Stegostoma tigrinum: one gene and its partner. The protein of the gene in region 2 interacts with the protein of the main gene of each other region in a biochemical or structural test. Links are inferred from orthologs where the notes say so. Each region holds a gene or a part of one and is shown on either strand. Other genes may lie near its edges.

Evidence for each region.
Region 1: the proteins of reln (region 2) and vldlr form a complex in vitro, tested with the Homo sapiens proteins (6 studies listed by BioGRID). The link is inferred for Stegostoma tigrinum from reciprocal best matches to the Homo sapiens genes RELN and VLDLR.

What each region holds. Positions count from the first base shown.
Region 1 is NC_081356.1:4,785,166-4,793,553, forward strand, and holds the start of vldlr (very low-density lipoprotein receptor), read left to right. Parts: upstream 1-4,216; 5' UTR 4,217-4,643; coding exon 4,644-4,713; intron 4,714-6,752; coding exon 6,753-6,872; intron 6,873-8,388. UniProt on the Homo sapiens protein: Multifunctional cell surface receptor that binds VLDL and transports it into cells by endocytosis and therefore plays an important role in energy metabolism.
Region 2 is NC_081378.1:23,253,939-23,263,361, forward strand, and holds the start of reln (reelin), read left to right. Parts: upstream 1-5,780; 5' UTR 5,781-5,797; intron 5,798-6,342; 5' UTR 6,343-6,403; coding exon 6,404-6,632; intron 6,633-9,423. Other genes in the region: orc5 (origin recognition complex subunit 5), read left to right, coding at 1-6. UniProt on the Homo sapiens protein: Extracellular matrix serine protease secreted by pioneer neurons that plays a role in layering of neurons in the cerebral cortex and cerebellum by coordinating cell positioning during neurodevelopment.

The DNA of each region.
Region 1 (8,388 bases), on a different chromosome or scaffold from region 2:
CATTTCTACAATTATAGCCTAATAAATAGCAGGTAATTCAGATTCAGAGGGTAAATATCCTGCCCAGCTGACCTCATTTTTTGAGAAAGTCACGTCCCAAATAAGTGATGGTGAGGCATATGTCATAATTACAGGCCAGTGTCATGGTGATGACAGGGATTTGTAATCCTGTAAACCCAGACTAATGTTCTAAAGCTGTGAGTTTGAATCTCCCAATGGTGATGTTTGAACGTAATAAAATTCTGGAATTTACGAAAGGTGATGGACATGTAACCACTCTAGATTTTTGTCAAAAAAAAACCCATTGGTTCTCTTATGTCCTTTAGGGAAGGAAATCTTCCATCTTTTCCCAGTGTGGCCTACAGATGTTTACAGACCAACTGCAACGTGGGCGACCGTTCACTGCCCTCTGGATATATGATCCATATCTCATGAATTAATTCTTTTCAAATGATATCGATATTGCCGAGAAAATACATTGACTGAAGCTTTTTTGAAATACTCATCAGGGCAACTTGCAAGAATACCAATTTAAGTGGAAAATTAACATTTATATTGTATGAGTGTGCTGATGGAATTTGAGTAGTCCAGGCTTTACCATGGAAAATGCACCAGTTTTTAATCTTTGTTTAGGTTTTAAACCAAGAAAGTCGGCTGATTGGTCATGACATTAAATTGGGAAATGAACCAGTGATTGCCTCTTACTTAATTTGTTACATTGAGAGAGTCGCAGAGCATATGCATGATTTTTCTATCCACAAAGAACATGATTTCAAGTGCTGTTTCATCCTGCTGCTACGAAGTAACAACATCAGTTGTGTTTTCCAATACAGCTGTTGCTATCAAGCCATAAAAAGTTATGCCTTTCCTAAAGATGAGTCATGTGATATATGAATTTCAGTGACAGTGTGATGCCCGGTAGGCCACACTCATGTCAAACAGCGCATTTCTTCAACTGACAGAACATGTAAAATACAAACTCTATTCTACCAGCCTGTGCTTGCAAAACTCACAACAGAATGGCCAACTGTGGTTAGCACTGCTGTCTCACAAGGACCAGGGCTTGATTCTAGCTTTGGGTGACGATCAGTATGGAGTTCATATGTCCTCCCTGTGTCTGCGTGGGTTTCCACCGGGTGCTCCGGTTTCCTCCCACAGTCCAAAGGTGTGCAGATTAGGTGGATTGGCCATGCTAAATTGTTCATAGTGCCCAGGGATGAGTGGGTTAGGTGGATTTAACATGGTAAATGCAAGGTTATAGGAACAGGGTCAAGGGTTGGGTGTAGGTAAGATACTTTTGGAGGGTAGATACAGATTTGATGGACTGAATGGTTTTTTCTGCACTGTAGGGATTCTGTGATTCTGCAACCGAACAACATTTGCTGGATAACTATGAGTATGCAAAGAATGACACTGACCACTGACAACCAATTTAGGATCATCAGTCAGACATGGCACGTGGTGTAAATGCATGTACTGGGAGCCTCATTTTATTTTCAGCAACGCCGATATACTCAAGTTCTCCAACTCCAAACAGCTAAATATACCCATATAACCAAAGCTATTTGACAATGTTTCACATTGAAAGTTATTAATAAGATTCAATCCTTTGGAGATTCACTGTGAAATCCTCAGCAGATGCTGCACAAAATGTGAATGCACCAGATTATTGCTCATGGTGTTTGGAGTAATATTTTAAGTTGGATGGAGGATTGATTAATGGGCAACAGAAAAGATCAGGACCAACAAAGCATTTTCATGCTGGCATACTGGAGTGCCGCAGTTATAAGAAGTGGGGTGTCAGCTATTTACAATCAACATAAAATTATTAATTAAAAAGCCAGATGTACCCAAGTTTGTTGAAGATACAAAGTCAAGTGGAAATAAAGATAAAGTTACCATAGTAGCCCTGGACCATGGGGCTGCTTTCTCATGAGACAGGCAACCAGTGGTCGTTTAACATGAGGGTCACCACACTGCTGATAAAGGGAGAGGTTGAGGAGGAGAATCTGTCATGGTGACTTCAGCTGGCATAGGAATTGAACTCACACTGTTTGGCATCATTCTGCAACAGAAACCAGTCATCTTGGCAAACTAAGCTAACCAACCTCATGTGGAAACGTAAGCTGTGAGAAGAACACAAAGCGGCTGCAAAGAGATATGAAGAAGTTAATTGAGCAGGCAACAAATGGCAGATAGATTACATTATAGGGAAGTGTGAGGTTAGTAGTTATTTTTATAGTCACGGAGTCATACAACACAGAAACAGACCCTTTGGTCCAATCTGTGTCAACCATAATCCCAAACTAAATTAGTCCCACCTGCCTGTACTTGGCCATATCCCTCCAAATCTTTCTTATTCACGTACTTACCCAAATGTGTTTTAAATATTGTAACTGTACTCACATCCACCACTTTCTTTGGAAGTTCATTGTGCACACGAACCACTCTCTATGTGAATTGCCCCTCATGTCTTTTTAAAATCTTTCTTCTCTCAGCTTAAAAATATGCCCCGGTCCTGAAATCCCCCACCCCAAGGAAAATACACCTGCCACTCACCTTATCTATGACCCTCATTATTTTATAAACCTCTATAAGGTCATCTCTCAATCTCCTGCATTCCAGTGAAATAAGTCCCAGCCTATTCCACCTCTGCTTATAACTAAAACCCTCCATTCCCAGCAACATCCCGGTAAATCTCTTGATTAGTAAGATAGAAAGGATAATAGTGAGGATAGAAAAAGAGTAAATCTTTATGTTCAGAGAGGCCTGGCTGCACAAGAAATACAGAAAGTTAGCATGCATGTACAGCAAACAGTCAAGAAGTTAAATGACATGTAGATCTCTGGAACAAAAGCAAAGTTGCTGGAAAAGCTCAGCAGGTCTGGCAGCATCTGTGAAGGAAAAATGTAGATCTCTATTGGCTAGAGTTGTCAAATATTCTGTGCGAATGTGATACCCTGGCTACACACATACTCACACAAGCCACCCAAATCAATAGAATGTAGATAGATTTGAAATACTTAAGGACCATGAGGAACTGGAATATGGATCCGTTTTGACATTTGGGATTAAAGAGCATTTACTGAGGTTCCAAAGGGCATGTAATTTATTGGATAAAAATAGAAATTAAGCATAAATTCTACAGGTGTGGCAGCATCTGTGGAGAAAAATTAGAGTTAATGCTTCACATCTGGTAACCCTTTCTCAGAACACAGAACTGATCTGAGAAAGGGTCACTGGTCCTGAAGCATTAACTCTGATTTCTGTCCACAGTTGCTGCCAGACCTGCTGAGCTTTTCCAGCAAATTTCTATTTTTGTCCTTTAGATGTGGTGTCAATACAGCACCATCCCCTACAGGGCTCAAGTCCTCACTTAAGCGATTAACTTTACATGTCCTTTATCACTTGTTATATAGGAACAGTGCACAGGTTTGTAATTCTAACATGTTTAATTCAATATTGGCTCTTCTCATATCTTGTCATTTCACTGTTAAATGCTGAATTTCTCTACTTTTTTATGACATAATTATCACATACTCTATGTTTGTAACCTGGTTATTTGGTCTAATCGGACTACAATTCAGCAATTCATACTTTGGAGGTGTTTTCTCGAATACTGACACCCAGATTCTGGTAAAACAAGGACCTACTCCAGAAGGTAAACAATCCTTAGAACACAGGAGGCACTTTTGCCAAACTGGATTTGTCCAACAATTAAAGTTGAATAAACTTGAATGTTTCTTGAATAAAATACCAGTATTACGGAAACGACTGAAAACGGCAAAAATATATGAATCCCTGATTTTTTCCACCCATCGTCAATGTTTTGTGCAAAATCCCGTTAATTGTTGGGACTTGACCTCTTTGTATAAAATTTATCTGAAAGTCCAGCGTCAGTAGCTTTCAGGAGGGCTTGTCTGAGTTTATTAAGACTTAAAACCAAAGTCTTTCAATATTAGTCTAATCAATTTTGCAATCCTATGAAAACCTCTCGGGCACTTATTTCGAAGTTGAATTTAGGCTGGCTGGTCGGCATGGACGAGTGGGACCGAACGGTCGGTTTTCGTGCTGTACAACATCACTATGACTCTACCCAACTCCCCTTGATTTTCATAGAAAAATGTGACTATAAATAAACATCCCGACCTTTGAACTTTTACCTCTTGGTGTGATAACAGGGCCCATCTTCCTGCTCTGGCAAATCAGAACACAGAAAGGGGCAATAAAAAAGAACAACACACACACTTTTGTGAGATATTTTCTAATCAACAGAAGTCTTTTATTGCGAGAACCCATTCTGTTACAGTCAGTAGTGAGAACTCATTCACCAATAATGGGAAGGCGTACATTCAGTAAATCAACCATTTACCGTCCCATCAGCGAGCAGCTCTACCGACAGATATGGATTTACCATGCAGTTATTTAACAAGGTAATTGCGTTAGGAGGCACACAGCCACCAACCAGTTGTTCCAGAGAGCAGAGGGAACGCATTTAAAAGCACGTCTGTGCGTCATTCTGGCGTGTCCGTCTTTCCTTAGTTCGCTGGAGGGATTTAAAGGGAAAAAAAATACCCTGGTTCTTCTACCCGTTAATATTGGGGGACCAAGCAGCAGCTTGGCGCTGACAGTGGAACGCTGAAATGATCCCTCTCCGTGCGGTTTTGCCACTGCTGCTTGCAGTGTGTGTGTATCAGTGCCGATCTATACATGGTAAGTACTGTGACTCCATTATCTTAACACTGAGCCAGTGGCTGGGGTAAAGAAGCAGGTGGCAGGGCAAGATCCAGAGACAGGGGCGGGTGGGAGAAGACACAGGTTTTTTTTCAGGGGAAAAAAGTGACCTCCAGCTGAGCTGGTTTTATTTGCTCCTTTTCAGTCGTGGAGCTGTAATGTTGGGTTTTTATCTGAATCGTGGCGGGATACAATTTTTAAGTGGAGCCCTTTATTGTCACAACCTCCCTCCTTCGCGGGCTTGTGTACGCTCCCTGTGCCACTCGCTCGCTTAGTTGACTAATAATTGAAAAGCCACACTGTCGACTAGGAAATGCCTTGGGAATAGTCAGACCTACATATACCTAAAATGGAACAGTATATTAAAAGGGCAACAGTAACATTCAAGAATGTGATCCTTGACTGGAAATCTTTTTTTCGTAAAAGCATTACCATGGACCCAAGGGAGGAGCGAATAATTGTATTAAAGCTCCTGTATTTCTAGGATACCTTATTCAGTCCATTCCAAATGGGGGGGGGGGGGTGTGGAGGAATAAATATTAGTAGGTCCCACCAGCTAACTTTTTACTTTAAAAGTAAGCCTATATAGACTCGTGCTTAAGACAACCTACTGGGTTTTACACACAGACCTTGAAGCGTCTAGCTCAGAACTTGGTGAATGTGATGCAAGCCTCGGTTAGAGTTACATACACCAAATGGGTTAAACTCTCAAACCGATCGCAGCTAAACTTTCGTTAGTTGACATAACTTAAACCACAAATCGGCGGAGCCATCATTGGATGGAGTACTGTGTCAAGTATCAAATGGCTGGTCAGTCTGGCTTCATTTGTACCTGGACTGAACTGGAGTCATGTCAACTTGCGAAAAATTTTTTAACTTGAAACGGTACCATCAGCCACTTCCATAGTGTTTACACTCTGGCTGTTTCCCCCTGAATTCTAGGCTTATCTCTTGTTTGACCTTGGCTTGACTTTTTTAAAAGTCGAGTGTTTACTCCTGTAGCGTATTCGGGACTGCTCCAAGTGGAGCAGGAGGTGACATTCTTCTCCACCGCCCCTGCCCCCCCCATGCGTAACACAGTAAACTTGCTGTATTAACCCCCGCCCACCGCCATCCATGGTCACAGCACTCCTTGCTGAATGTGATCCAGATCTCGGATGCCCTGAACAGCAGATCCGCCTCAGTACCTAGCGAGCTGCCGGATTAAGCAGCTGTCTTAGTCTGTCTTCCTCCTCCGCGCCCACCCCCCAGCAAAACGACTTTGTTCACGGGAACAGGTTGTTTGAACTGTTAAACGCTTTCTTGAAACCTTGGCAGTGTGCAGCAGACCTTTCCTAGAGTCGCAGACTAAATGACCTTGAATTGGCAACGTTGGTGTTGTTGTAGTGAGGAGGAGCGCTGTAATTTTAATCCACCTACACACGGGTGTGTACGTAAATGATAGCTTGTTTCTTTTCCCACTTATGTGATGCTGGTTACAAAGTGGACTTGCCTGAAGTGCCCAACGTCCAATAATGGAGAAACGTTGGCGTGCCAGCTCTAAGCAAAGGGGGCCAGATATCCGAGCCCAGGGTTTCGCGGCAAATGGTTTGAAGACCAACCTCAACCCGACTAATACAGCTCTCTCTCAAGAGCTACCAGTTCAGAGTTCTGGCACTCTCCCTTGCTCGAGTATGGGGCAAGGTCCCTCAGTAAATTTAAATATCTGGAAAACTTTCTGAAGGGACCAGACCCGAAACGTAAGCTTTCCTGCTTGGCCTGATGTTCACCAGCTCTTCACCTCTAAATATCAGGAGTTTGTTTCAGGTTACTGGCTATACCTTTCTTTTCTAAGCAGAAACGTGACCTAAACGCAACCTTGCGAGTTGGTTCATAACTATATACAGACCCAGCGCCGATAAGTGGTACACTTTCACCTGACTATGAAACGGTTACGCAGCGTTAAGCTAGCCATAATTTTTAGTTTAAAATAGCAAAATTTGTGCTTAAAGATAAACTACAACTTCTTTCCCCTGGAGGCTCTCGAGTATCTTGTGAGGCATCACAGTTCCAGTGCCGAAATGGTCGCTGTATTCCCGCTGTATGGAAATGTGATGGAGATGAAGACTGCTCAGATGGAAGTGATGAAGCTGCCTGCGGTAAGCAGTTGAAATAGTCAAGTTCCAGGCTTAGAACTGACGTTTACTTCTAACTATATAGAAAGCATCAAGAATTGACTTTCTGGTCAAGACCCTCTAATACAACTAACTAGGGCTGGGTATTAGATGAAGTTTATTCCCTCAAGTTAACGTTGCTGATCTCTAGCATCAAAATGCTATTAGACCATGTCCAGAACATGCCATAGATTTTTAGCATGGATAGTTGAAGTTGCTTTTGAGACTTGGCATTTAAAATGCCAAAAGTACACTTTTAAACACACTCCTAACTGGAGTCTCAACCTTGACTTGAGATGTCTAGCTTGTCAATTTAGACATGCTGTTGCTTTCAAGATTGCATATTTCCATGCTGGACATGGCAACTTTTAAGAGACTCTTCCTACATGCCCCTTTCTCTTAGTGAATGCTAATGATGTAATCACTTGTTCCTCACATCCTATGCTCAGTATGACTGCGTACTTGAGCAAAAGTACAAACTAGTGAAACTGACTGCTGAAGTCCAATTGTCAGCTGAGCTTTATCCTCTAAAGGAGTTTCAGTGGTGAAAGTCACCACTAGGTGTAAACAATATCCTTTATCTGTCCTACATTACACACCTAAAGGAGGCAAACATCCTAACTTTTCACTAGCTATGAAGGCATTCATCCTCTGACTAGAGGACCAGCTCCTCGCTAATCCTGGTTTTTTCCAAGATTAATTGGAATCAACACCCCATTTACACTGACATTGCCAGACTTTGACTGATCATTGCTATAGCTGTTTGTCTCATCACTTCTCTTTCCATTGTGCTAGCTATTCATTGAACATCTAAACTCCTTTCTTAAACCTGATGTTAATGCATTGACTAGGCCCTAGCAATCTCATTACACATCACCCTCTTCATTATCAAGCTTTTGTGTATCTGTCCCTTGAGCCCCTTACCACTTCAGTTTCCATTACACTGACTGACCACCTTGTTCAACACAATTGACTTAGTTTTGTAACTTGTGTTTCTGTACTTGTACAATACTTAATTGTTACAAGTAGTTTACCCCCTACAGGGAAACCTAGAGCACGAGGCTAGATACTACCTGAAGCATTAAGTAGGACATGATTTTGTCTCCAAGTGTGTAGAATTGAAAATGGTGGTACCAGCTGCATGTCTCCCGAATGTTGAATAATAGCTTGTGCCACCTTGTACAAAGGACCCATTACTGAAGACACTGGAACACAGCCTATAACTAGATTATTAACTCTTTAAAAAATCTTTTCTACAAGTGACTAGGTTAACACTTTAAATCTCACATAGGAAATCTGAATATTCTAGGTTTTCCTCTAATCTTGTCAACAATGCACTTTCACCTTCTGGCTTTGGCCAACTTGTGACCCTGAACTTTAAGCTGAAATGGTAGCTTTGGTCAACTGGGCCATACTGGTGTGATCAATGATAAATCTGAAAAGTGGGTCTGTCTTAAACTACTTTACTTATCTAGACTCAATTTAAATATTGAAGCTAACT
Region 2 (9,423 bases):
TTGTGAGACCCAGCACAACCATTTGATACTGCAAGCAATGATCACTTCTTTAGCTCCAATTCATTCTGATTTCTCCACTCTGCTGAGAAATGACAGGCATTTTGGCAGCATTCGATTTGTCCAAGCAGGTGTTAGCACAGTATGGAATCTGATAGCAATATCTTGATTGGTCAGAATGGATCTTTAAAATGAACTATTTACCAGCAATCTTCAGTATTTCAGAGCTAAGTGTTAATTATGAGCAGCAGGAATTCAGGGCAATCTGTTCCAATGCAATAACAATATATTAGCACAAAAGACACCTGAAATGTATTTACTTTCAATTATTTTCCTTTGTGAAGCATCCTTTTCTCGGAATGTAGTGTAGCAGCCATTTGTGTGACCAGCCTTTCATTTTTAAAAAACTTATCTGCTGTAATGTTTTGTGGCCCTTATTAATTTTGCAAAAAATTTTCTATTTTTTAGTGGACAAAAATAAATAAATGTAGTGCAGTAATTGTGTTATATTGCTGTTAGTGTTGTTAAACTGTTGAAGAGAAATGTCAAAGTAGAGTACCTTTCATCTTTTGGAGCTGGTGAAGCTGATTCACGTCTGTGTCTTGTTAATTTAAATACATGTTATCAATATCGCAAGGTCTATGGGCCCTGTCAACATTGGGCTGAAATTTTGAAGATTTGTGCTCCAGGACTATCTCCACCGCTCACCAAACTGTTCCAACACAAGCACAACACTGACATTGACCTGGTAATGTGAAAGCCACTTTGGTATATCTTGTCCACAGAAAGCAGGACAATCTAATTTAGTTGCTTTTTATCCTATCAGTCTACCCTTCGTTATCAGCAAAGTGTCTTTTACAGTGCTGCTAATACCTGTAGTCTACAAAGTTTGGATCCTCCAGAGCCCCTCATGCTGCAGACTTCATCATAACCTGGAACCAAAAGTCCTGAATTCCAGAAGTGAGAGTTCTTGACATCCAGGCAGGTTTGATCGATTGTGGCATTAAGGAGTCCAAGTGAAATTGAAGTCAACGTGAATCAGAAAGCAAGCTCTGCAACAGGTGCCGTCATACCCCTCACAAAGGAAAATGGTTTCCAACTGCAACCAATCATCTCAGTCCTGGGATATTGTTTTAGGAGTTCTGAAAAGGATTCGGACATTTTAAATTGCTTTATCAATTACATTCCCTCCAACATAATGTTAGAAATTGGGATGTTAGCTGATGATTGACAAACTGTTCAGTTCCACTTACCTTGGGTGCTGAAGGAGTCAGTGCCATGCAGCAAGATTTAGACAACATTGAGTCTTGGCAGGTATATGGAATGTAACGTTCACATCTCACATTTCAAATAATGCTGTCTTCCAAGAAAAGGAAATCTAATTATCTTTTGCCTTGATTTTCACTGGCATTGAAATCACTGAATCCACTTCCATTAACATTCTAAAATAACTTGATTAGAAATTTAGCAGGTTTAGCTATTCTGTGACTGCAAGAGCAGGTCAAAGACTGTGTGTTCTCATTCACAGTAACTCAAAATAAAACCTCATAGGTTCTTACACAATGGTCATCTGAGTCTTTTTGTGTACCACATTCTAGGATTTGGAGGTTTCCTTTGCATAATTAATGTGATCTGATCAGAGCATTCATTTGCGAATAGCTTAAACCCTAAAGATTTGTCTGCATAGTTCAGTGATGCTTTTAAATTGAGATTGCCGGTTTTATAGCCTATGAAAATCTACTAACAAATGCATGTTGTAAGAATGCGTAATGTACAGAGGAAAAGTTACTGATTTAATTGAGTGAGTGACATGTCCTTTGGAACTTAAGCTTGGTTTTCTGTACAACCCGAGCTACTGATATTTGAACTGGTCTTGGTACATACATGGTGTGCTAGTGCTCAACACAGTGTATTAAGTGAAGATGTATTTTAGTAATTTAAATTTTGGTATATTCTTAAAAATAAAGCTTGCTGATTTATTAACTTTTGAATGCATCATCATTGTGGATATTATTGGACAAATTATTCTTAATGTCTTTGGAATAAATGTTAATCAGTAAATAAATCTGAAAATATAAAGTGGCATTAGTAAGTGTGACCTTGGAACTGTCAGATTATCGTAGAAACACAACTAATTTCCTGATGTCCTTAAAGGAAGGAAATGACATCCTTATTTGGCCTAGCCTATTGTGACCTCTGGAAAGAGATTCAGTGTTTTGCATCGAGGTTCGTTGGCTGTATGGGCTGTTTGCAGAGAATAGCATCCCACAGCTGCTGGAGAACCATCAATCTGGTGAAAGTTTCTCTTTAGGCTGCCTGAAACTTGCTGGTGCAAAGAGTTGACTGAAATTGAATATTTAGTTCCAAGTTTTGAATTCCATGGTTCTGCACTTCGAGCTAAGGGATGCACTAAAGCATAGGTTATATTCAGTAAAGGAGCAGGGTCACCATCTAAAGCCTTTTAGCTGTAGTACAGTGAGGGGGTGGAAACTGAGTAAAACCCCCTTGGTCTATATTTTTGACGTAATAAATCCTGCAAATATTTTGTAAATGTAGCACATAGAATACTCAGCATTCACACATTCTGTAAGCCAATTTGTGCTACTAAAGAGCTAACGCATATGATGTCACTCTTTGGTTACCAGCTATATATGAATGCAGATCTATGCAGGATACAGTAAACTCTGTACTACCGTTCTTGATTACTAATCTAATGTAGCCTATTTACTTGATCTATTTTTACTTGTCATACAAAAATTTGTTCAATGCTGAAATATTGCACATTAAGATGTCAGGGTTCTTAATCACAAATAAATATGCCAAAGTGAAAGGGTAGGTGCTGTAATATATGTCTAACCTGTTTAAATGCTTAGTTGCCCAGCACAAGGTTTGAAATGAAATAGTTGTTTAAAAAAAATTGGAGATTATGCATTCTTGTCTTTGTTCGTATTAAAAATTCCATATGCCAACTGAATGCAAATATTAAATATATTATCAGTGTAAGAAGAATATTTTTAAACATGTCAAATCCAAATTATAATCCAATAAGATATTTTCATAATTTACAGCATATTGTGGGCACTTAAACACCAGAAATGGCACATTCATATAATTGAATTAAAATGAGAAATATATGTATGCTTTGGTACTTGATCATTTTTCAACATGTCAAAAATGCTCAGCTCTGGGACTATAGTTTCAAGTCATGTAAGAGTTAATGAAGCCTTGTTGTCAATATTGTCCCATGGGAGGAAGGATGAAGCTTTGTTTAAATGAACTACATTTTCTTTCTCCAAAACGTGCAGATTCCCATGCTTATGAGCCATAGCACTTCTCAGTGCTGAACTGAATGTGGCTTCTAAACTTAATTTTATAAATCTTTTACACATGTCCTGCTACTAATTCACAGCCAGAAAATATTATTGTTTGAGCAGTGTTTATTGAAGACGTAAATGCCGTTCCCAACTTTGTTTTGATTCTGGCAATGTTTGGTTTATTAATAATAATAGACAGAAATTCATACTGGCAATGAGAAACAGTCTAATTTAACAAGGTTGCATGTTAAATGAGTTTCAGAAAACACAAGTTGTGAGCTATTATTCCTCAAGTGTTATTGATTTTTCGATGTAAGCTGAGATGCTGGGTTTTCTTTTGCATTGCTTTTCTTAACCATTACCTCCGTTTCCTCACAGTTTTGTAGTTTGTGTTTACAAAATTGTGACTCTATTAAAACCATTCAGTGTGCTGGTGACGGAGCAAGGCAAAATATTAAAGCAGACAAAGGTAAAGTTTGAAAATTCACCCAGCCTTATGATTGCCTTTTAGAAATAAGCTTGCCTGGATAACATTTGGGCATGGGAAGTTGGAAGGATTATATGTCAGGATGTGAAACATCCACTGCTGAAGTTGGTGATCCGAAGTAGAGAGCAGGATTGTTGTAGTGATGCTAAAAAGTAGCATAGGTAAATATTGGCATTTAATCGTAGTTTTTCAATTTCTAGAACTGCTCAATTACTATCTACTCTTCAACTATAGTTCATACCTACGCATTTCATGCCCTAGCAAGTTGCTTATGCCTAATCTTTGCTTGCCGGATTACTTCTGCAAACGCACCATCATTATATCATCAATTGTCCTCCGTGATGAATACTCATGTAAAGACAGTTGTAAGAAACAAATTAGTTGATCTCTCCAAACCGACCTCGAGTGTAGTTATCAAATATCAAGTAGTTGCTTTTCTCCCCAGTTAAAGCTAAACTGTTATAAATAGATGTTTTATAGTAGTTTAGTAACATTTTTCTTAACTTCCACACAATTAGGAAATATAGCCAAAGAGCTTTCAATTCTGTTTTGAAAATTAAAAACACTTGAATAGAAACAAATAACTCCCATTCATCAGATAATTGAACAAATTGCCCACTGCAATTTTTTTCCTTTTTACTGTATGTCTTTCAATGAATCTTATTTCCGATCGGTTTCCAAAGTGAAATAGAACTGGGTCTTACTGCACTTTACATCAGTTAATAGAAATGCTTGAACAATTGAACCTGCACTGATTAAATGTCAATTAACTCTGTAGCATCAGTTGGATAATTTCATGAATAGAAAAATTAATTTGGTGTTGAGCCTTATGCAGAACCTTCAGAATGCAAAGTGAATGATGTCAGGCCAATTAAACAGTTAAAAGACCTTTGAATTAGTTGAATGAAGAAAGCAGATAAGCAAAAAACTTTTCTTTTCTGATGAAGGGTCTAGGCCCGAAATGTCAGCTTTTGTGCTCCTGAAATGCTGCTTGGCCTGTTGTGTTCATCCAGCTCCACACTTTGTTATCTTGGATTCTCCAGCATCTGCATGCAGTTCCCATTATCACTGCTTTTTTTTTTCTTGTTAGTTTATATTACAAATAGTAAGATTGTGAATATTTTTAAAGTGTCCAAATGTCTCTTTAAAATATAGCTCATACAAAATTGACTACCTGGTATATTGGAGGTATCCATCTAGGCAGAAATTAACATACAAGCTATTAGAAATCATCTTTTAACGTAACTGTTAGGAGTAATTTAACAATGCTGCACAGTTGACTATGAAATGTACACTGGTACTTGTGTAAACCTTTTTTTCCTGTAAGGTTAAAGTTCTGTTGACATGGCATTAATAATTATCGTAACATTGACTCTCTTGCCCTCTGCTATGGAATGTATCAGAGCAGCTGAATTTAAAATCCATTTGTAAACATCTAGACTGCTGTTTTGAGCTCACTAATTACCAGAACTCAAACTTTAAATCAGTAGATAAATTATTTAATTTTATCAGGACTGAGTTTAGAGAAGAGGTGAATCCAGTGTTTAATTAGAGTCTCTGCAGTTGTTAAGTGATTTAATTCAAGCTTCCACAGATCTTGTGGCCCACTTAAATCGGTTTTTATGTAGCTTTACTGTTTTATGTTACCGTTCAAAATATTTTGATCAAATAATTCCTTTTCTATTGTATATTGGTTGTTTTCCGAATTCTGAATTGGTGTTGATATGGAACTTTCATTTGAGGTGATCACTTAGGCAATAAAAACAACTTTAAATATCACGATATTATATAATTGTATTGCTGTTATAATGGCCTCGAGACATGTTTGCCACATTATATAATTATTTTGGCAGTTTAGTATTTAATCTTTTAAAAATGGCTTTTTAAAAAAAACTCCCAATATCTATTGCGGGTAAACCTAGATTTTTCAAGGGTTTTTATGCAATTGTGCATCAAGCACACTACTGACCTTTTACAGAAAAATCAAAGGTCTGCTGTGGTGAGTGGTTTATATCTGAAACAGTATTTAAATGATATTTCAGTGTATGTCATCGGACTTGCAGTGCTTGGTATTTGCTGTTCAGATTTTTCGATTTGTCTATTTAGTGATAAGGCATAAATACGAGACTTCCCTTTTGGACACTCGGAGAATGAGTGAGGAATGGCTTTTTCTGTCTGATGTTACTCTGAGAAGGTGGAGTTTTTCAGCACTCCAGTAAAAGCAGCAGGGGAAATAAATTATTTCCAGTCGCTGCATTTTATGCCTGATCACCTCCCGGTTTTAGTCCGTGTTCTGACTGAAGGGAAAGCGTTTGCCTTCCTAAAAAAAGTTAACAAAACAAAGACGCGCCTTGAGGCACGTGGGAGGGGGCTGGAAAGTGGAATACAATATGCTCTGAAGAAGACGTACTCGAAAGCTGTATTGCAGCTTATGAAGCTGATGTATTAGAATGCAGTAGAAACAGCTGACAGCTGGCAGTTCCTGGCTTATGACTTTCCCAACAGAAGCTCCCTGACATTAAACTTGTAATCTCTTTAATACAGCAAAAAAACTCATTCTCAACAATCGGTTTCCAGCAGAACGGAATCTGAAGAGGACAGAGAAATGGCTAAAGAACGATGCTTTAAATATTGGACTTTATTCTCTCTGGTTGGAATATTCTTGACAGATTTTGTATGTGGATCTGTGGGGTTTTACCCAAGGTTTGCCCCATTTTTTTTCCTTTGTACCCACCACGGAGAACTGGAGGGTGATGGAGAGCAGGGAGAGGTGTTGATGTCACTTCACATTGTGGGAAATCCAGAATATTATGTGCCTGGTCAAGAATATCATGGTAGGTCACTTTTACTTGAATGGATGTTGCTTACAGGTTTTAGTGGCCAGTTTAACAAAAAAAAGTGTAACAGTTTCTGGATGAATCAAATGTGTTTCTTTCACATGATTTGACTTGTGAAATGCATATTTTAGTATAAAATTGGCATGCCCCTGGTTTATGCCTGCATATTTGAAAGAAGCAGTTCTTTGTTTTGAGAGCTGGTAGAGTGTTTAATATTTTAAATAGTTTACCTTAAATGAGCAAGGTTAAAATGAAATCATATTAATGTGACTGACTTGACCATTCACACTTTTGCTGATATGAATTATGAAGACAAATTAATCCTTTGGGGTTTTTTCTTTGTTGTGAACCATTCCCTTTCTGTTCCTAAATCTCTGTCCTTCAAAGATTCTATTGTGGGGATTGGATGTATTAAACTAAGCTGGCAGGTTTGAGTAGGCTTTGTGTGTGGGCTCAACTCAAGTGTAAAAAAAATCTTTTGCTGGGACAGCTGTCAGTCCCTGACCAATCTACATTTTAAAATAAAGTCAATAGATTTTTAATGTAAGAGCACATAGCATACTTGTGGATCATTTCTAGCGTGCAGACTGTGTCCGCAGTCAGGTCGAAGATAGCAGGATGCCCTGCACAGTGTCTCCACTGTACATGTGTGATCTATAGCTGATTGCTCCCTGTAAGACAAAAGTGAGAGTTCAGGTCAGCTGTGCATAGGGTTGAATTAACATGGAGAAAAACAGCTTGACTTGAGCAGTAGGAAGCAAAAATGTCACTCTTGTATCAACGCAGAAGGTTCGGACAGTCTCCAGAGGGAAAACTAAATAACAGTACTCCAAACAGTAATGTTGAATACTTTGAAATAATTTTATTAGAAGTAGAAAGCTTTAAGATTTAACAAAATCTGTGAAAAAACCTTTCTTTCATTCCAGACTGGCTACTCTAATACAATGGAATCAAAGAGTGTATTTGTAGTCAAGCAAGATATTTAACCAGTTCAGTGCAGTATTGGCAATTGTTCATCCATTGGGACTAATTAGCAGAAAACAGCTGTAAGATAATATACAGCACTTTTTCTGCAAGGTAATATTTCATTTTAAAACATGCAAGCATATTTAATTTCATATTCAGTTGTTGTTTCAGAGCAAGTACTAAACAGACCAAATAAACAACTATAGAGAACACTATGATTGTACAATCTTCACCTTGAAGGAGAAGGTATTGAGCTGTCTTTTTTGGGGATAGATACTATCTTATCATTCTGTTCTGATGAGTGTAATTGGGGGGGAAAGGGCATTTAACTCATTAACTATTATTTACAAATCACCCAATCAACAGCTAATTAGTGAATGTCATTCTTATTATAAACCTGAATCTGGATTCACTTATTTAGCTTCCAGGATGTGTACTGTCATAAAGCTATGAGAGAGTGGTTTTGTGAACATTTATAATGAAGCCTAAAGTGTTGTACCTTTTTGGTTATTTTATCTTCTGATTATTTCACAATATTGATACAGGCAAAGAAACTCCATCTTTCCCAACATTAAGCCGTGACAGACGTTTGGCGCTGCAATTCAGAATTTAAATACAAAAAACAGTCCAATGGGCAATTATAAGGGAAAAATATAGCTTGAGATTCAAATAGGTGTTAAAAGACCTAAACTTTCAGAAATAGCTAACAGGAATGCTGATTCCTGTTTATGCTGGGAATGCACCAATAAGACTGGATCTCAATGAATAGATTTAACACGTAGCTGCCTATATTTGTCTCTGCTGTACTGAATGATTTTGGAGCCAAGTTAATTATTAAACTGTTTCTGCCTTGGAACTTTTGTAACAGTAACTTAAACCATGGAAATAGTAAAGCAAATTTGATTTATCAGGTATTTTCTTCTGTAACTCAACAGATAATGTGAAAGGGAGTTCCCTGCACTTGTTTACCCCTCACTAGGTCTGCAGTAAATTCTCGCCATGTTGTAACTCAGATATTTTACCCAAGAGTTGTGGGACAAAGTTGTGTGTACATGGAATCCTTCAACCAAAAACCTTAAACCATCACCTGTTCTCACATCTCCACAAATAGTTCTTGAGTTGGATATGAATACAAGTTGAATTTCCTGATTGTGTTTCCAGATCTTCCCCCCCCAGAAGCAGATTCTCTCCAATTAGTATCTTCCTCTACCTGGCTAAAATAGAGAATTAACTAGCTGGGGAAACAATAGGGAGAGCAAGGTAGTCCATTTATGCACTCATGCTATTGTGCTTTCTGAATGCTCTTTGAAAATCGCAATTTTTCTGTTTTGTGCCGTATCCATCTCTCAAACTAAATCAAATAGTCTGTTTTTCATCATTTTTTGAAACCAAAATCATGACCATCTCCACCAGCTTGTTTTAACTTTAACATTCAACGCTGTGGAGTTTATATTTAAGTTTGTGCTGTGTCAAGTTTTTGATCTGAGTTGTTTTGCGTAAAGAGAATAATATGCATATGTTTTATCTTGTGGTGGGGGTAAGTTTTTAAAGGAAAAATATATTCCTAGCCACTATGTCAAGGCTATTGACAATCTACTAGTAACAGTTTATAAGTATCTAGGAGCTCAGTACTTGAGCCAGAGATGATATAGGTAGACATTCTAGGGAAAATGAAAATAAAGACAGTATAAACTAAGAGTTTAATTCCTAAATATTATTTCATGTGATGTTTACAACATGAACTATCAATTTCTTGTGAGTAGGAAGCAGCAATACAGTTCTCCTATCCTACGTAAACCAAAAACCAGACAAATGGTTTCGA